Arabidopsis thaliana: one gene and its partners. The protein of the gene in region 2 interacts with the protein of the main gene of each other region in a pairwise test. Each region holds a gene or a part of one and is shown on either strand. Other genes may lie near its edges.

Region 1 (4,538 bases), on a different chromosome or scaffold from region 2:
TTAGTTTTTCCTTGTGTTAGTGAATTGTGACATCATAGCGGCTGGCCAGCTCAGTCTACTATGCTCGATCGAAATTTCGGTTTGATTAGGATTTTTCGATTAGTAAATTCTTCAAAAATTAATCTTATTTTAGCCAACTAATATGTAATTTATTCTTTGTTGGGTAATTAGATGAATAATAATTGGTCTTCTTTCTCACATTTTAGTGGATGAAAAGTTTCCTCATTGTTTTCTTCTTTATTCATCACAAATGAAAAGTTTCCTGATGTTGCATGAGAAAAATATGAGGTGAATGATTTGGGATGTGTGCCATTCGTTAGAGATTGGTATGTGGTGGATGATGTTTAGTTTTGATCTATCAGGTCAAACCAACACGTGCCGTGCCCGGCTTTTAAGTTCTATGGACAAAAGTATTGCCCCACTAGGCAAATGATTGTGACTCCGGATCTTGTGCTTTCCTTTGACAAATTCCAAATTCTACATATTCAACAATTTTGCTTAAAACTTTAAAGTTTGATCTTTCTAGAATTGAATTTTATTATTTAAAAAATATACGATACAGTTACACATTAATAACAAGATAGAGAATCTTGGCGTTAACAATAAAAGAGATAAACGTAGCAATTAATACAAAGGCCATATACGTAAGGTGTGGTGAAAGTTGTTACATTCATTTGAAAATACTCCATCAACTCCACCCATGTTTTCTTTTCTCTTATCAAGTGCTACCGATTCTCACGGTCTTTAGAAATGAACCACTTTTAGTGATTTCTCGCAATGGTTTATCGGTATATCTAACTGTGTTATAAACCCATGCACCCGCAATCGCACCAAGAGTTGGCGCAACTAAGTATATCCAAATTCCTTTGTAGCAACCATAGACCAGTGCAGGTCCTAAACTTCTTCCTGGATTCATCGACGCACTCGATACCGGTCTAATAAAATTGATGAACATAACCGTATAAATCATTTTTTGGAATTCTTACTCTAAAAAAAAAAAGTATAAGCACAATAATAGAAATGGTAACTGATAACTTACGCGGCAATTAGCACGTTAAGTAGCACCGTTGATCCTATTGCTAATCCAGCAAGTTCTCCGATCTGAATATTGCAGCATTTGGTCCCAATGTTAAGTTTCTCGTAAATTTAAAGACCACAGAAAACAAATGTAACTTCTGAGAGGGAGCAGTAATTAATAACACTAATATAAGCCATCGAATTTGACAACATAAGAAGATATGAAAATACTAACCGCTCTATTATCGGTAGCAACGCCAGAAATGATGAACATTAGATAGAAAGTGACGATAAACTCCATCGTAAACGCCTGAAGATCTGATCCCACTGGTGATGATCCGATAAACACATCGTGTTTTCCGCTACAAACGTCGTGATCAAGTCCGAACAACAACCGTAATGTCGCAGCCGCGAGCGTTGATCCTATCACTTGTGATATGACATAAGCTGGAACCTAAAAAAATTCAAAGAACAAAAATAAAATAAATTAATTCACCAGTTCACACTAACTAGGGAAGGGACCCAATCTTGGAAGATATTTTGACGTTTATATAACAAAATATGGACGTGTGGAAAAACTATATACATACAAAAGTTACATAACATTTTAATTTATTTTGGAAACTAGCAAAAGTAGATTTGTCCTTACGTATCTTCACTCATCTATAGTAAACGTTGCATTAAAAACGCTACGTATTTGAATAACCCAAAGTCTCGTGTGCAATACAAGCAACCGATAGCTAAACTAGATCAATGGAAACAAAATACACTAATGTTCTTTAATTAGTTTGTTCATGAAACTCAAAAACACACATAAAATACAAAACTTGATCGATCATTATATAAAGGCTATATGTAATTGTGTATGTGTTAAGGACCTGTTTGAGAGGGAAACGGCCACAAGAGGCGAAGGCAATGGTAACGGCCGGATTGATATGAGCACCAGAGATGTGACCAAGAGAGTAAATGAGGACCATAATGGTGAGTCCCCAAACGATAGCGATCCCTGGAAGAGTCACGACATTGTCGTTTTGCATGTTTACAACCACCGATGCACAACCGGTGAATACCAAAAAGTAGGTTCCAAGAAACTCCGCGATCAACTGAAAACATAGCGTAAATAAAACCGAGATGTCTTGTGAATTGGTACAAAACAGAGTCTTTTCATTTATAACTTGTAAAACATGTTGGATATGGAGAGTTAAAAGTAAAAACCTTTTGTAAGAAAGGGACAGAGACTGAGAGTAGAGAGTCTTGTTTCTTCAAGGGTCTTGGGTTATGAATGTCTTCCATTTCTTGTTGATGTTCGACTTCATCCTTGAGATTCACCATTACTACTTCTTCTCTGGCGTTGCCATAGCCGTTTCCCGAGATATCCGCCATAAGTGACTTTTCTCTTTTTAGAAACAAAGAAGAGGAAAAGGATTGAACTATAAACGACTGTTTATGACTTGTGAGAATGAGAAGTTTGGTAGCGATTATCTCCTATTTATTGGCAAACATGGGGGAGAGAGAGACTTCTTTGACGATTTTAATATTACCAGTTTATTAATTGAAAAAAAGAAGAAGATGATATATTGTTAATAAAGCTTTTTTAATAATAATAAATTCCTATGTTTGTGGAGATTCTATACCAGGTCTCAAATTCAATTTTCAGGGATTACAATTTTTTCTTAGATCAACAAATATAAAATTTATCGAAAATTTTAGAATGCTACATGCAGAATTTGTTTGTTTTGATCTTGTGTGTTGTGCAGAGAGCCTATATCATTCGTGCATGTCGTACATGCATAACCATCCGCGCCTAGGATTCAAATGTTGCATACTTGCAATCTACTTTTTGTTTTTAAATTTTTATTCTACTTTCCAAATATTCATTTATAATCACATAAGTATATATACGTCATTTTATGCGTTGTTTGTATTTCACATAAGTATTCATTTAGAACATCTCATATCGAATTCTGAATTTCGGATATAAAGTCACCGGTCATATGTTGTTACACCCAAATTTGTTCGTATCATATAAACAAAACAAAATTATGTCATGCAAACTATAGAATAAACTATATCATTTATGAGAAATTGAAAAATGTCACTAGATGGAATTGATGATGGCCTCTTTAAGTCTTCAACTACCAAGCGGGTAATACGGACATACTTTATTTAGCTTATAGTTGTGCATGTGTACATATGTACACAACATTATAAAAATTACTAAAAAATTTCAAGATATTTTATATATACCTTGATGCCAACGTAACAATCTTGATTGCGATCCGTAAACTTAATGTAGTGTACTGTTTGGATCCGATCATATCAACCTCAGGTTTGAATCCATACTAACATATAACTAAATGTTAATTATGATCAGAATGTTTTATTTGCGACAATACTCAAAATGTCATCTCTAGATTAGGTTAAGTTCGAACCCTCTTTAATGGATGTTAGAATGTAGGGTTGTGGCCACGGGCCACCAGAGAAAAAATGAAGTTTCTTTATAATGTACAATTTGAATTATCAGTAAATTAGCAATGTTAATTCCACATGTAAACACGTATGCTGGTTAATGGTGACAAGACAAATCTTAAAGACTTTCATGTTACGTATCGATCCAGATGTGCATGATGTATGGTGCCAAAAAAATAGGAGGAGTGAATATGAATTGAAATTGAGAACATACATATATGCAAAGGGAAGGTAAATAAAGAATATTTCAGAAAGAAAAAGAAACATTGATGTAAATGTAGGAGTATCAAAGTCGATCAAAATTAGTAGATCATTGACTTAACTCAACCAATGAATTGACTATCATTTTATATTATTTTAATAAGTTGATGAAATAAATGAGTTGAATGGACTGATGAATTATGGGGGCTACTTAATGTTTCCACCACGACACTCGGATTCAATTCATTAACTTTTTTACATCATCATAACTTTATTATAATCGATGATATCAAACCCATCATGATATAATCATACACCATCATATTCATCATCATCAACATCATTTCATCAGCATGACTTCCGAAGCTATTATACGTGTGCTAGATCTATATCTTTGTACGATGTGAGAGTGTTACGAGTAGTATGTGTGCATAAAGTAAATGAGACATAAATTTGTTAACGGGTCTGTTCACAACTTACATGTCAAAAATTTCTACCAAAACTATGTAACTTTTTTTATTATGACGCTCCACAATTTCTCGCTACAATGTTATTCCGTAATTTTATATTTTTAATTGCAATATATCTGGTTTACGTATCAAAGATAATGCAAAGGAAAATTTTATATAGATATTATCTTCATCTAAAATGGTTTATCAGTATATGTATTAATGTTAAAACACATTATCAATTTCACCAGGTTTTAAATAGAAATTCCAAAAAAATATATATCTAAATTTGTTTTTTGAATTTTATCTAAAAATCTTATGTGATTTCTTAAAATGCAGATATTGTAATTCAAAACCATTAATTGAATTAAAATATATTTTAATTTTTTGTAATTTTTGGAA
Region 2 (3,100 bases):
CATTATCAAGGAAGTGCACACGTGCTGAAACAGATTAGCCATTTCTTACTGGAAATGGAGTGTCTTGAAGTTGTGAAAGTTGTCATCTCCAATGGATGACCCCCAAAAGGTGCAACTCACAAAGGATCTATTGGAACTTGCCACCGCTTCACCCAAGCTCAAGATATTGAAGAATCTGTTGAAGCTTGCCACCGCTTCACCCAAGCTCAAGATATTGAAGAACCTGTTGAAGCTTGCCACCACCTCACCCAAGGTCAAGATATTGATACGAGATACGGTATCACATACAACCGTAGAGGTTTCCAAAACCCGAGTCCAGTCTTAAAGAGTTTCTAGTTAGGTTTTTGGTGCTTTTCCCTTTTGGATTAGGTTGTTTTTGGTTCTTCTTCTTTTTACATTAGGATGTGTTTGATCGTTGAGCCGAATAATTTGCTTTGAATCTCTGAGATCTTAGGAACAGCTAATGGATCGTAGTATGATGATATTAAGACATCTTTCTTATGGTTATGAAAGAATGCAAAATAAATACATGCATCTTTGTACTAGTGTATGTATGTAAATTACCCACTAATGGTGGATGTACGAGAGAAAAAAATACAAGATCAACCATTACTAGGACAATTCAAGTAGCCATACATATTACTTACAACATTGTAGAAAACCTAACAAAGTTTTGTAACAGCAAATAAATAATTTTCTTAACTAAGACATAAAATATAACTTTGAAGTTTGAACAATAATCACAAACTATAGATTCATAAAAACACTTTAACCTTCGAAATCTGTTTTAACCCACTGAACATGTTTCACATTCATCTTCTCGTCCAACTCCATTTTCTTTAAATCCGAACTAGTCCCATCTTCAGCGGTCGAGACTCTTCGGTTACATTTTCTTCTAAAAGAATCTTCACTCTCAACATCTAACCCTTCGAACTCTCTAACCCAATAACAATGTAACAAACAAGCCAGCACTAGAACCATTATCTGTAACGGAATCATCGCCACGAAAACACCACATTCTACTCTAACCAAAGCTTTAGCCTCTCTAGGGTCTCGAGTCGATATCAGCAAAGAAAGACTCTGTTTCTCTCTACTAAACAACATTAAAACTGCAATAAACTGACCCGTCAGTGAGGAAACATGAAGCGTTATCCGCGCGATGAAACATGATCGAGATTGGTGCGAAGAGGCACTACCGAAAGAGGAGATCAGAGAGACGAGTGAGACTGCGAGGAAGGCTAAACCGAGTGAAGTTGGAGGGTTTCTAAGAAGAATGATTGGTACGAAAGAACAGAGGGAGAGGAGGAGGAGAGTGAAATTCAGACACGATACGAGAATGTTTTGGAACAAACATAACTTTCTGTGAAAAGAAGCCATTGATGTTTTGTGAAATTATGTTTTTTTTGTTTGTTTCAAGTTTTATATAGGTAAAGTAAGAAACTAAGCGCCCGTTGGGGAGAAGATGTAACGGCTATGATGAGGTTTAACGGTTATATTGACATAATGGGCTTCACAAAAGTATTGTAATAGATTTTTGACCTTTAGCCTCACGAAAATGACGGTCGTATATATTTGAATTAGTAATACTATTTTATCATTATTGTTTACATAAATGCCTGAAACTAAATTGCTTTTTTTTTTCTTTTCTTCTCAAAGACCTAAAACTAAATTGCTACTCGAATAGAAATTTGAAAAGGATTATTATTTTTGATATATTTCATGTTGTCCATAAAATACTCTTTTATGTCAATTGTATTTTTTAAGCATCTAAAATATTTAAATTTTTCTTCTTTCTCAATTGCAATATTTTAATATTTTATTTACATATACATAGACTATACCAAAAATCCCAAAAAAGATTATAAAAATATTGAGGTACAATATGAGCTTATAAGATTACTGTTTAACTGCAAAAGAAATTGTGTCTTGACTCCATCCAAACCCACGTGTCAACAACTGCGTGCAAAACAACATGTGTTCGATGAGTAATCGTACGATTTCCAAGATCAACCTTGGTCGTTGGGTATATATTTCGGTAAAAAAATCATCGTCGAAACACAATCGATCATTAATTCTTTTATTTGTCACTGTAGTTAAGCCAATTGAAACTCTAATAAAAAATTAAGAGCTTAAAAACAATAGAATATGCATCTAAAGATTTTTCTTTCCTTCAAACCAAGACACAATCTTTAATAATATAATTAAAACAAAAAAGGTAAACATAAAACAAAGATGTTTGAAGACACCAAAAATAGGACGGTGAAATTTGACACAAGTAATAAAAAATAAGGTTTGTATTAATCAACGGAAAACCATAGATTAGACCATTAGAGCATTCTCATTGCATAATTATTTTTTTAGTGTCTCAAAACCAATATATTTAATATTTTAATATTAAAAGCAAACTAACCATTAAAAAAAAATTTACAGAAGTGGACGAAAAAAGATTTGCTCTCACCGTTTGTCAAAGTGAGAACTGGTTTTTACGGTTTGTCTTTTCATTCAATTTCGGACCAAATTACCTTGGGAAAACTTAATAATGGCACAAACCAAACCGTGCAGCAGTTCGTATCGGTTCAGTTGATGGCATAAACCAAACCCTACAGCAGTTGGTTTCGGTTTAGTTGATGCGGTTCAGTTTTGAAAAAGACAAAACAAAAAAACTGAAACGAAGAAACCGAAGAAAAAGAAAAAGAGAAGAGAGTAACGGAGAGATTTGAGAGAGAATTAGAAAGCGAAACGAAATTCAGTATCCATTGTTTCAAAATTCGACATAACTTCGAATTGTTGGGTAGTTGAATTGAGTCACTGAACTCCCACATCCGGGGAAGAGAAAGTTACTGTTTTTCCCGGCGAAGCCAAGAAAAAGTTACTGTTTATTCCGACGAAATTTGAACCTCCGGCGAGATAGCAACTTTAGCTATGGCTGGGAATAAAGCAAACGAAGAAGTCCCGAGGAAGCAGCATGGTCCAGGGAAGGAGAAGCGGGTATTAAGAGTTTCCCCGCAGAGAAAACGCTCTGCGACAAAGGCAACGGAGGAACTGGGTTAGAATCTCTAATTTACCGTTTGTTTTCTTTGGGTGTATCAGAATTGTAAAG
Region 3 (5,183 bases), 6.3 Mb from region 2:
CCTGACGGCTCGTAGAGTTATTGATCCTCTTAATCGCGATCTTGCCCCTTCCCATTTCTGCTTCTATCACTTTTACACACAAACATCATCGTCAATTTCAAATCATCATCTCCTGAATCCAGGGGAGATTTTGAATAAAATAAAAAAATTGAACATTTACCTTTTTCAAAGAATAAACTAGATCGCGGGAAACGAGATCTGGTAATCCGATAACCGGAAGGGGGAGAAGAGAAATTGGTTCAGTTCAGAGATGTGGTTTTGTTGATCGAAAGAGAAAAAGGAAAGAGAAAGAGAAAGAGAAGAGAGAGCCACATAAGGAAAGAACATATGACAATTTGGGATATTTAGGGCAAAAGAGTTTTCTTACTATATAAACATACTTCGCTTGTTATGTTTTGACACATGGCATTCTATAAGTGGGTTTCTTTTCCGATTCTCCTTCTATTTTTTTATTACATTCTTTATTATTCTAGTACGACAGTAGTCTGTCTAATATTAAAAGCGCATTTTTAAAATTCAAAAATATATGTAAATGGACACTTCATTTAATGCATGCTATATTAGCAAAACTTTAATCTAAAAATTATTTAGTTTATTAATCAAAGTTATCAAAATAAGATCAGCATTTGTAGTTAAATTTAAATTCCAAGACAAATTTGTTCTGATTCATTTCATTGGCTTTATATTGTTGAGATACACTCGCCTTTAGATGAAAACTCTCTATATAAGTGAACTAAAACGATGATTCTAGTAGATTGTTGGACATGAAGCAAAACAAGTTCTGTGTTTGTATGATTTGTGAAGGCAGAGAGAGAGATGAAAAGAGGAACAGGTTTAGAGTTTCTTCATGTTGCAGAGATTTATTTGTACCAACCAGCTAGAAAATGCCTAAGCATGAAACAAAATGCGCAAGCAAGAGCCTGCAATAGAACACACAAAACACCAATCTTGTGATTTCTCTCTCTCAGAATAAACCAACTTGTATTTAGAGATGATAATATGGGCATTAACAAGTTTACCTGGAAAACAAGAAGATGAATACATAGAGACTTTTCTGTTTTCCTACCAAAAATCCTCAAGTAGACGTTCACGAGTGTCCCATCTTTTGTTCCTGTTAACAGTCCCGTAGCAGGATCATACCTGGTTTAAAAAAGAGAGAGGAAGAGTCATGTGTTGTTTACTTGTTGGCTTTGCCTCTTATGAAAAATGGACAAAAAATAGCTTACTTGGGGAGACGATGTCGTGGACATTTGACAATGCCAGCAAGCTGAAGAGTTATACAATAGCAAGTTAGATGCTTTCAAATGTATTGAAAAGTAACAGAAAGTGTGAGATGGAGAAAGGTATCAAACCTGCGGAAGTGACAGTAAAAAGTTCAACACTTGAGGAAGAAAAAAGATTAACAGGGTTTCACTGCAAAAAGCAAAGTTTCATAAGTAGTTAGTTAATTGAAGGCTCACACATAAGTTAAATGTAAATGATGAATCTAAGTACATTGCAATAAGGACGGTATGGTTAGAAGTATACCTGAAGTGACCGAGAATGCCAACAACTGCCATAGTCATTCCAGCAAAGACTGTGTAAGTGTCTCCAACAAAAACTGCAGAAGGGTACCTAACATCACCAAAGAGGGGACATGAACGTGGTTAGAGAAAGCATTCTGCTTTGCTAGTTTACCTGATTGATTTAAGAGAAAATGACTTGAAAGATCCAAAGATTACCAATTGTAGGCAAGCATTGCCAAGGATGTTGCCATCAATGGCTGAGTAAGATAGATTGAGAAGGCATGAGCTTGATGATACTCAGTATCAACAGATGCTCCGATTTGCATAACGTTGTGTATCAGAATCTACAAGTTACTGAGATTTATCATAACTTTACTTACGAGAAACCAACAGAAGGAAAAATGGGACCAAAAAAATGAAGCATTGCGACGCATTTTGACAGCAGAACTTACAGCAGCTGCAATAACTACGGTTTGACCGATTTCAAGGCCATTCAAACCAGCGTGAATGTTAATAGAATTTGTGCAAAAGACAGCCAGTAGCGCCATATATAACTTATATATACGTCCTGCCACGATAAATATACAACTAAGGAAATGAATTTCAAAATAGCTATTGATGGTTTAACACTATATACAAGATGAATTGTACCTAGATCAAACACTTCCAAGCCAATATAAGAAACTAAAGGTTTCGGTATGACGATAGTTGTATGTCCAGCATAAGCCATCAACAGTGGAAGGGTTGCAAAAGATGGCAAGAGAAGTTTCCTGCAAATTGACAAGAGTTAATAAGAAAACAAAACTAAATCATGAATTTTTAATCCAACAAAATGAGAACTGCACCTACACTCTCCAAGGCACATCAAGGACGTCATCTACAAATCCAAGCAATATCATGAAGCAAATAGACGCCAGTGCTGCATTATACTCCACAAGCCACTGCACCGAGTCATTTAGCCAGATTGATAAATTGCATTCAAAGTAAATGAGCCAAGAGCTACCAAGTTCATAGTTCACAATAAATAAATGATCAAGCTTGAGCTTTTGAGACCAGGACACTTACCACCGAATCTTCAGTGAAATTAAAGAACTGAAATACAATCGCCACTATCAAGAAGACAATACCGACAACAATTCCCAATGACTCAGGCCTACAAAGAAATAAGATTGCTGAAAATAAGCACATCAAAAGACTTTAAGTCCCCTGAGATCAAATCAAGCGTAAACATCCATAGAACATCAATCAGAAAATGAGACATCTCATAGTTTTCCTCCTATACAAAAAATCAAATCTAAGAGACATCCATTTCTAGAAAAACGCTGAACACTAATCTGAGAACTAAACAAAGACAAATCTAAGAAGGAAAAACATACACTCTAACTTCTCCTTGAGGAGTGCCTCTTTTGTTGATATCAAAACCAAACATATTACGCCTCAGAACGTATCTAGCAGCTACAGGAATCAACTTGAGTGTGACAAAGAATCCAACCAAGCTAAGCCCAGCGTTAATGAGGATCGGACGCTTGAGCTCATTGTCAACATTGTAGTGGAAACAGAGAAGGTAAAGATAAAGCGAACACAGAAGCGAAGAGATCACGAAAATCACGCCCAATTTCGGCGGCGCGAGCTGGAAATCCTCTCCGGAAACAGAGGTCTTCTGAACCGTCGGGGAAGATGCAGGTTCAGGTAGAGCTAGTTTCTCCGAATTGGACACTGAAGGAGTTCTCTTACGAGCAGTCATGGCGGATCCGTTGGCTATTTCTGGTTCCCCGCCTCTGGATTTGCTTCTTCCACTTTTCGCTGAAGCTTCAAAGCCTGTAGCATTTAATTACAACTTGCCCACGCACAACAATACGACATCGTATCAACACCACTTATTTATGAATTATCAAAAAGGCCCAAAAAAGCAAAGTATAAAGAAATAAATAAGTCTATGGGATTCATGTGAAATTAGGCAAATTACTAATATCTTTTTTTTTTATATAATCAAAGACTCATAATGTAAGAAAGAAGTTAACAAGATTACTATTAAGAATGCATCCCATAGACTTATTTAACTTCTTTGATTATCATCTCTCTTTGTGAAATTAATTAGGCAATTACTAACTATACTATCTTTTTTTTAATCAAAGTGTAAGACTCTTGTCTTCCTTTCTTCTCTTTCTTTATCCACTCTTGCTCTTCTTTTTATTCAAATTTCGTTTTTGATTTATCAGGGGACAAACTTAAAGCTCTCTCACGTTAAGAGATACAACAGGACTCTGGCTGCTGGTGCTTGCTGTTTCTACATTACTTTGGTTGCAATGCAGCCATCTAGTGGAAGGCGTTTTACTTTTCAGACTTCCGTTTATGAAGAAGCTTGTGGCCGGCTTGTTTTGACCTCCTTTATTGCTGAAAGACGTCGTCCAGGTAATTAAATTATTATTATACTACATGTGACTCCTTACTTGGGTAGGCGTGTTCATTAACACATCATTATTATTATTACAACAACTAGTATTTCATTCATCATTGTATATTTTAGGGACAATCATTAAAACGTCGTTGGAAAGAGAATTCTACCGCATGGGTAGCTTGCCTGAGTTCCCGCTGGAGAACCCTTTCGAAAACAGAAACCGATTTTACGTGGTGGATGATGAATCAGAGCTGCGAGCCAATGACTGGATTCGTCTGTATCTGGAACTTTCTGTTGCCATATCTGATAGGACCACCACGGATCATGATCTTTCCGGCTTGAGGATTGTGTCAGTAGCCATTCAAACTATGGAGCCACCCAGTGAGTCCTCTCTCACTGCTAAGAATGCAACTGTCTACATAAGGTACATTGACTTTTGTAAGGCTCGCTGTGGTCAGAACCTTGATCGCATAGCTGTAGTTAGAAGAAACCTTCAATGAGACTACGGGATGCTTTAGTCTCGACGGTTGGAATCAAAGCTCAGATATCATACCCAAAAAGAAGGCTACGAGTAGCAAACTTCTGTCCCAGCGTTTAATTCACAAATCACGGCAGATATGGCGGCGGCGGCGCACAAACCATGGCGTTGGCTTGGCTCATCGTCTTCGCAAAACAAGATCCATAGAATCAGCCATCCGAAAGTATACCCAAAAAGGGTACGAGTCTGAGCGTGAAACTTCTCTTACGGCGTTTCAGCATTCCCAAACCATGGCGGATATCTAAACTTTGACGGCGCAAGGCTTACAAAAACCATGGCGGTTCAAAATTTGGATTAGAGATGATATTATTAAACTTATTAATTTGGTAAAATGTTAAGTGGACTGGTTTCTGTGTGTTGTACGGTTTCCTAAATGTCTCCACCTTGAATAGTTTCTGTATGTAATAAGAATTTATTTTAGATTTCAGAGTTATGTATCACATGAAAAAGGCACAAACTATAAAGTATTTAAGAATATGACCATCTTTTTCTTTTGTATCAAAGTGTAAGAAAGATTTTAACAAGAAAAGTTTAAACAATGCAGTAACTACTAAATCATACGTCCAACATGTATAAGTTCTTTTAAGTTGTTCTTATTGGTTGTTATGGTCCACAACCTTATCAGTACTTGTCAATGCCTGGTTGCTACTAATTTGACTTAAGTACTCTCTTCTAAATTATTGCTCATGTTCTCAGTCTGAAACATTAAGTTTCTGTAAGGTTTAAGTCAACATGAAGCTGT
Region 4 (6,947 bases), on a different chromosome or scaffold from region 2:
GTGAGTTTAATATCTTAATCGAAGCTCAAGTGTTTTTTTGATGGTAAATTAATTCTCATACTTTTTACTATTCTTCTTTCATCTCTTATTTTACTTCTTTATATCTGCAATTTCTTTTTTGTATTAAACTGCAATTGTATTTTCACGCAAGATTTTTGTATTAATACAAATACTTCAATTTTAAAGTCATCTCTTATTTTACTTCTTTATATCTGCAATATCTTTGATATTGTTTCAAAGGCAGCGTCTGCGTCATGTAGTTACTTATTTGTGCACATTTTACATTTTTTTTTAGACTTCCAAGCTTTGGGTGTCAACGAATGTTTGTAAACTGAATTACTGATGATGAGAAGAAGAACACATTACAATTGGTTGGAGCTAATGATGAAATAAGCGGACATGTATATACCCAGCATAATTTTCGTACTTATACTCTCTTATATTTCTAAACTCTTGATTTGTTAGTTATTGCCTATCGCAATTGATTCATTGGGTAGAAAAGTTGTACCTTCTTTATATCTTTTTCTTAATCTTTGTATATTCTTCGATCAATGATAATAAATTTGTTGTATATTAATACTGTCTGCTTTATTTTAAAATTTTTAGTTAAAAGTTGTAACAGATATAATCTAAAACAATGTTATCCCTAAATAGGGGCCAAATGCTAGTTATATTCTAAATCAGTAAATAATAGTTACTACATGCACACTAAAACAGACATAGCGTACGTGGGGGACTTATTTTGGGAATTGTCACATGTGTGTGAGTCACTCACCACTAGGTTCGATTTATATCTAACGATTTTTCCCGGAAATATTTATGGACGAAAAAGCAAACATTATAAGATTCATTTGTTTGTTTTATATAGTACACAAATAATAGAGAATTAAATCACTAATTTTAATGAAAATTAAAAATAAATAATATATATATATATATATATATATATCTGTTGACGAAAATAAAAGCAAGTATATCCGAATAAAATTACGAATATAATTTAGGGATGAAAATAGAATCTCCTATACAGTTAAGATATTATAAGAATATTCATGGTTAGACTATCTTAGAATTAGATAATTAAGGAAAATTATCGTGATCATCAATTTACAAATTTCATACCTGAATTCATTGTTTAATAAGGTAACCTGTTTATTTTAGTTTTAAAAGTATATCAACAAGAGAACTTTGATCACTAAAAAACAAAATTCATACAAACTTTAATCACTTCCCTATATTGAAATGATCTAATCTGGATGAAAAAAATATTATTTATTAATTTCCCATAAAACAATAAACATGTGGATGTAGCTCTTAAATATTCTTAGAGGCAGAGAATGTCATTTATTCAAATCCGGAAATATATTAAAAATGTTGAACAAAAAGAAAAAGAAATATATTAAAATGACACCGTTTCGCTGGAGACTGCTTGGTGGTGGAATTCACTACAACACGTTAAAGGTGGAACACAACGAATCTGGACCATTGAGTTTAAAGGTAAAGCAATTGAACCGTTAGATGTACGTAGAGTCCAGGCTAGGAAGATGGACCCAACAATTGTACCTTTACCACTTACCTCCACTGGCTTTGAAGCTGTTCCTCTCTCACATAAAAAAAGCAAACACTTAACGAGGAAGAAACACACTCATATCTCCTCACGTTCCCCAATTTTTTGATTTTTATTATCTTTTTGGGTTTTTGGGTTTGGTTAAACCATTTATGGGTCTTTAGATCTCTCTTGATAGTAAAGATAAGTAATTTTAGGGTCTGTTTGGTTCTGTTTCTGGAAATTTCACTTTTTTCACTTTTTTGGGATCACATTTAGCTTTTTTTGGTTCCTTTATTTTGTAACGCCATTTATGCGTTAAACTTGTGTGAAGTGTTTGTTTGGTCTGAGCTGGAGATGGTGAGAATCTCACTGCTTTTGTTGTGTTTACTGGTTTCAACTTGTCTCTTCACTTCTTCATCAGCACAAGCTCCAGGTAATTGACTGCTTCTGAGTACTTTTTGATGTTTCCTTGTTGAAATAGTTGGAAAGATTCTATTTTTATGTGATGTAGTAGTAACAAGGATTTTTGAAAGTTTAGGCTTTTGTTAACAAATCTCAAGAGCTGGTGGTGTTTGAGATTTGTGTGTAGTTATGCTCATATATGTTTGTTTAGTTAGATTGAAGTAGGGAAAAAGGGAATGGTAACACAAAGAATCAAACTTTTTTTTTTTTTTGGGTAAGGCAGGTTTTGTGAGCTTGGATTGTGGAGGTGCAGAGCCATTCACTGATGAACTTGGACTCAAATGGTCACCTGATAATCATCTCATTTATGGAGAAACCGCTAATATATCGTCCGTTAACGAAACAAGAACTCAGTACACGACTTTAAGGCATTTCCCTGCTGATTCAAGAAAGTATTGCTACACTCTCAATGTCACGAGTAGGAATAGATATCTCATTAGAGCTACTTTCTTGTATGGTAATTTCGACAACAGCAACAATGTGTATCCCAAATTCGATATCTCCCTCGGGGCGACTCATTGGGCGACCATTGTTATCTCTGAAACCTATATAATCGAAACTGCAGAACTGGTGTTTCTGGCTTCTTCTCCTACTGTTAGTGTTTGTTTGTCAAATGCCACAACTGGACAGCCGTTTATATCTACTCTTGAGCTTAGGCAGTTGAGTGGTTCGATGTATGGTTCGATGCTATCTGAAGACCGGTTTTACCTGAGTGTTGCAGCACGGATAAATTTCGGGGCTGAAAGTGAAGCTTCTGTGAGGTCAGTATACAGTTCATAATCTGTTTGTTGTTTCAGCATTGTGATTTATCAGGATGAGTTAAGGAAATGAGTTGGTATTGCAGGTACCCGGATGATCCGTATGATAGAATATGGGAATCTGATTTGCAAAAGAAGCCTAATTATCTTGTGGATGTTGCTGCTGGGACTGTGCGAGTGTCGACTACATTGCCAATCGAAAGCAGGGTCGATGACAGACCGCCTCAGAAGGTTATGCAGACGGCTGTGGTTGGAACAAACGGGTCCTTAACTTACAGAATGAACCTAGATGGCTTCCCTGGTTTTGGTTGGGCATTCACATACTTTGCTGAAATCGAGGATTTGGCTGAGGATGAGTCAAGGAAGTTTAGATTAGTTCTACCTGAGCAGCCTGAGTATAGCAAATCGGTTGTTAACATCAAGGAAAATACACAGAGACCGTATCGCGTTTATGCACCTGGCTATCCTAACATAACACTTCCATTTGTGCTAAACTTTCGATTTGCCAAAACGGCTGATTCTTCTAGGGGACCTATTCTGAATGCCATGGAGATCAGCAAATATTTGCGGAAAAGCGATGGTTCAGTAGATGGTGAGTACAACTAGCCCCTCCTCTTAGTGTTGTGGCCTCACATTTGATTCTAAGATGATTGCTTGTATTGCAGCAACTGTTATGGCTAATGTGGCATCGCTATATTCTTCCACTGAATGGGCTCAAGAAGGCGGTGACCCTTGTTCACCCTCACCGTGGTCATGGGTGCAATGCAATTCGGATCCACAACCAAGGGTTGTTGCTATGTAAGGAAGTCTATCTTAGTACCTTTATTTGCAATATGTCTTTTTGTCTGCATATTTCAACTATGTTATGCTTCATTCTTTCTGCAGCAAGCTGTCGAGTATGAACTTGACGGGAAATATACCTTCTGACCTGGTGAAATTGACTGGTTTGGTTGAGTTGTAAGTTACTTATTTCTTAGACTTTTGAATTTGGGATTATATAGAGATATTCTCTTTACTGATGTTGCAACTTTTGTCAATGGCAGATGGCTTGATGGGAATTCTTTTACGGGTCCAATACCGGATTTCTCTCGGTGTCCAAACCTGGAGATAATGTAAAATCACTTTCTTTGGAGTTTATATATTTTTTCTTGCCTTCATCTAACTATAAATATATAATGGACTGTGGCAGACACCTCGAGAACAACCGACTAACCGGAAAGATCCCTTCCTCGTTGACGAAACTCCCAAACCTGAAAGAACTGTATGCTTTTTTTAAAGGATAGTTTGATATATTAATTTGTGTGGTGGGGATGACCTTTTAATCTACATTCTTATGCACCCAACCTGCTTTATGATTGCAGGTACCTGCAGAACAATGTGTTAACAGGAACAATACCATCAGACCTGGCCAAAGATGTGATCTCAAAGTAAGTATATTGTCGGATTTAAACTGCTTTTGCATGAATAGTTCCTAGCTAGATCTTCTCAGTAACACATGTATTCTTCTTCCTTCAGCTTCTCTGGGAACCTTAACCTTGAAAAAAGTGGAGATAAAGGCAAGAAGCTCGGTGTCATCATCGGTGCATCAGTTGGTGCTTTTGTTCTGCTAATTGCAACCATCATTTCTTGCATCGTCATGTGCAAAAGCAAGAAGAATAACAAGTTGGGAAAAACTTCGGGTATGTTATATTTCTTCAAGTATACCGGTTTCATAGTGTATCTTGATTTTGAATGAATATGCTTACCTTTTTTCTTGGGTTTATTTCAGCAGAGTTAACGAATCGTCCCTTACCGATTCAGAGAGTTTCGTCTACCTTGAGTGAAGCTCATGGAGACGCTGCACATTGCTTCACACTTTATGAGATCGAGGAAGCCACAAAAAAATTCGAAAAGAGAATTGGGTCGGGAGGTTTTGGAATCGTATACTATGGTAAAACAAGGGAGGGGAAAGAGATTGCTGTAAAGGTTCTTGCAAATAATTCATATCAGGGAAAGAGAGAGTTTGCAAACGAGGTAAATCTGCCTTAGTCTAAAACCATGTGCCTAAGTATCTAGTTTTATTTTATTTTGCTTAGGAAGTAACACAAGTGATTATGGTTTTTTCAGGTTACATTACTCTCAAGGATACATCATCGGAACCTTGTGCAGTTTCTTGGTTATTGCCAAGAAGAGGGAAAAAACATGCTTGTGTATGAGTTCATGCACAATGGGACTTTGAAGGAGCATCTTTATGGTAACATATCTTTTTATGATAGGATGGTATATTTCAGCCTTTTGGCTTAACATTATGATAACAAGTGGATTTATTTTCAGGCGTGGTACCACGTGACCGGAGAATCAGTTGGATTAAAAGGCTTGAGATAGCTGAAGATGCAGCCCGAGGTCCGTGAATTGTACAACAAAACAGAAAGCCATTTTTTCGATATTTGATTTTGTTGGTTTTGATTGTTTCTGTAGGGATCGAGTATCTTCACACAGGGTGTGTTCCAGCAATCATACATAGAGATCTCAAGACTAGTAACATCCTACTTGACAAACACATGAGGGCAAAGGTTTCAGATTTCGGTTTGTCGAAATTCGCAGTTGACGGGACCTCACATGTCTCCAGCATTGTCCGTGGCACAGTTGGATATCTTGACCCCGAGTAAGCTAAGACTTAAACTAATACCAAGAACTTCAGATAGATTCACCAAAACTAGCATAATATCAAGAACTCACATATTTTCTTTATTCGATGTTAAAGGTACTATATATCGCAGCAGTTAACAGAGAAGAGTGATGTATATAGCTTCGGAGTCATTCTTCTTGAGCTAATGTCTGGCCAAGAAGCCATATCGAATGAAAGCTTTGGTGTCAACTGCCGGAACATAGTCCAATGGGTTAGTTCAACTTTTTTTTTGTGTGGTTACGCTTTGTTTGGATATATGTAATATGGAATCATAACGGTTTATAAATTATCGCTTGGTAACGGTTTTTGTAGGCTAAGATGCATATAGACAACGGGGACATCCGAGGGATCATCGATCCAGCGCTAGCGGAAGATGATTACAGTCTCCAATCAATGTGGAAGATTGCGGAGAAAGCGTTGCTGTGTGTGAAACCGCACGGGAACATGAGACCTTCGATGTCCGAGGTGCAAAAAGATATCCAAGACGCGATTAGGATCGAGAAGGAAGCGTTGGCTGCAAGAGGCGGTATATCAGACGAGTTTTCCAGGAGCTCGGCTCATTCGTCTTCGCTCAACATGGGAATGCTTGACCTGGCTGGATCACAGAGTTATGTATCCATTGATGAATCAGTATTGCAGCCAACAGCTCGGTAGTAGATTCGGCTTTGTTTGTACAGATGCATTACTTGCTTGTGTTTTTGACCTTTCACATTGTCTCTGGTCTTTAGTTATTAGTTTTGAGCTTAACACTACTTTTTTTTCTTTCTTTTGGACTCGAGGTTACAAGAAGTGCTTCGAGTTTGTTTGTTTTTCTTTTATTGTTTTCAGACTAACTCGGTGATTTATGTGGGATTGTGATATATTATGTTTTCTTTTAACTGATTTTCACATTTTCAACTGATTATATAGGATGATGTTTATGCTCTCGTAGAAATAAGTTCTATAGGTTATTGACACATTCGAGATTCAGGCGCAGTTGTGTTAGTAGTGGTCAAACCAAACCCACGAGTTACTTCTCATGATACAGTAGGTTAATAAAGGGCTTGAATGGTGTACACTTTTATTTTACGTTTTGAAAACATAATTCTGATAAATACATGTTATTCTAAAAAATTTACGCTAAAATTATAGAACATGAATTTAAACACTATAATCTATAACTATATTTTTTTTAAAACATTGATTTAATGATATGGGATGTTTTTCTCAGTGCTTATAAGCCAAAAAATATGTTGGTAATCTCAAAAAAAAAACCTTGAAAACAAGGAGGCCGATCAGGGTTCTTTGGGCTTTGGAATCGAGAAGTTTGATCAATGTTCTCTTGGTACAGCCTGATGATGAGGCCCCATTAGAAAAGCTATTTCATACTCCAGAGTCCATATCTGAATGTACAAGGTTTTTAAATGGAGAAAAGCCTATAGAAGAAATTGTTGACTATACTTCTTCTTGTACTAGCTGGGAAACTGATACTGACTATACAGATACTGAGAAAGAAGAGTCCAATGTTCTC

The links.
Region 1: the proteins of AT3G42725 (region 2) and NLM1 interact in a two-hybrid assay, tested with the Arabidopsis thaliana proteins (one large-scale study listed by BioGRID).
Region 3: the proteins of AT3G42725 (region 2) and AT3G57220 interact in a protein complementation assay, tested with the Arabidopsis thaliana proteins (one large-scale study listed by BioGRID).
Region 4: the proteins of AT3G42725 (region 2) and AT2G37050 interact in a protein complementation assay, tested with the Arabidopsis thaliana proteins (one large-scale study listed by BioGRID).

Annotation. Positions count from the first base shown.
Region 1 is NC_003075.7:10,421,010-10,425,547, forward strand, and holds NLM1 (NOD26-like major intrinsic protein 1), read right to left. Parts: upstream 2,500-4,538; 5' UTR 2,401-2,499; coding exon 2,233-2,400; intron 2,121-2,232; coding exon 1,896-2,120; intron 1,472-1,895; coding exon 1,253-1,471; coding exon of another isoform or gene 1,202-1,252; exon of another isoform or gene 1,102-1,201; coding exon 1,040-1,101; coding exon of another isoform or gene 1,036-1,039; exon of another isoform or gene 936-1,035; coding exon 719-935; 3' UTR 512-718; downstream 1-511. UniProt on the Arabidopsis thaliana protein: Water channel probably required to promote glycerol permeability and water transport across cell membranes.
Region 2 is NC_003074.8:14,842,314-14,845,413, forward strand, and holds AT3G42725 (Putative membrane lipoprotein), read right to left. Parts: upstream 1,406-3,100; 5' UTR 1,378-1,405; coding exon 769-1,377; 3' UTR 536-768; downstream 1-535.
Region 3 is NC_003074.8:21,172,582-21,177,764, reverse strand, and holds AT3G57220 (Glycosyl transferase family 4 protein), read right to left. Parts: upstream 3,371-5,183; 5' UTR 3,250-3,370; coding exon 2,882-3,249; intron 2,659-2,881; coding exon 2,571-2,658; intron 2,447-2,570; coding exon 2,355-2,446; intron 2,276-2,354; coding exon 2,157-2,275; intron 2,074-2,156; coding exon 1,958-2,073; intron 1,850-1,957; coding exon 1,722-1,849; intron 1,615-1,721; coding exon 1,528-1,614; intron 1,414-1,527; coding exon 1,353-1,413; intron 1,268-1,352; coding exon 1,227-1,267; intron 1,141-1,226; coding exon 1,020-1,140; intron 921-1,019; coding exon 861-920; 3' UTR 571-860; downstream 1-570. Other genes in the region: AGL16 (AGAMOUS-like 16), read right to left, coding at 1-55; AT3G57210 (uncharacterized protein), read left to right, coding at 3,812-3,917, 4,033-4,403.
Region 4 is NC_003071.7:15,567,387-15,574,333, forward strand, and holds AT2G37050 (Leucine-rich repeat protein kinase family protein), read left to right. Parts: upstream 1-1,539; 5' UTR 1,540-1,903; coding exon 1,904-1,982; intron 1,983-2,234; coding exon 2,235-2,772; intron 2,773-2,855; coding exon 2,856-3,361; intron 3,362-3,434; coding exon 3,435-3,567; intron 3,568-3,654; coding exon 3,655-3,726; intron 3,727-3,812; coding exon 3,813-3,881; intron 3,882-3,958; coding exon 3,959-4,030; intron 4,031-4,130; coding exon 4,131-4,196; intron 4,197-4,284; coding exon 4,285-4,448; intron 4,449-4,537; coding exon 4,538-4,782; intron 4,783-4,875; coding exon 4,876-5,002; intron 5,003-5,082; coding exon 5,083-5,151; coding exon of another isoform or gene 5,152-5,159; exon of another isoform or gene 5,160-5,226; coding exon 5,227-5,413; intron 5,414-5,512; coding exon 5,513-5,648; intron 5,649-5,749; coding exon 5,750-6,091; 3' UTR 6,092-6,363; downstream 6,364-6,947.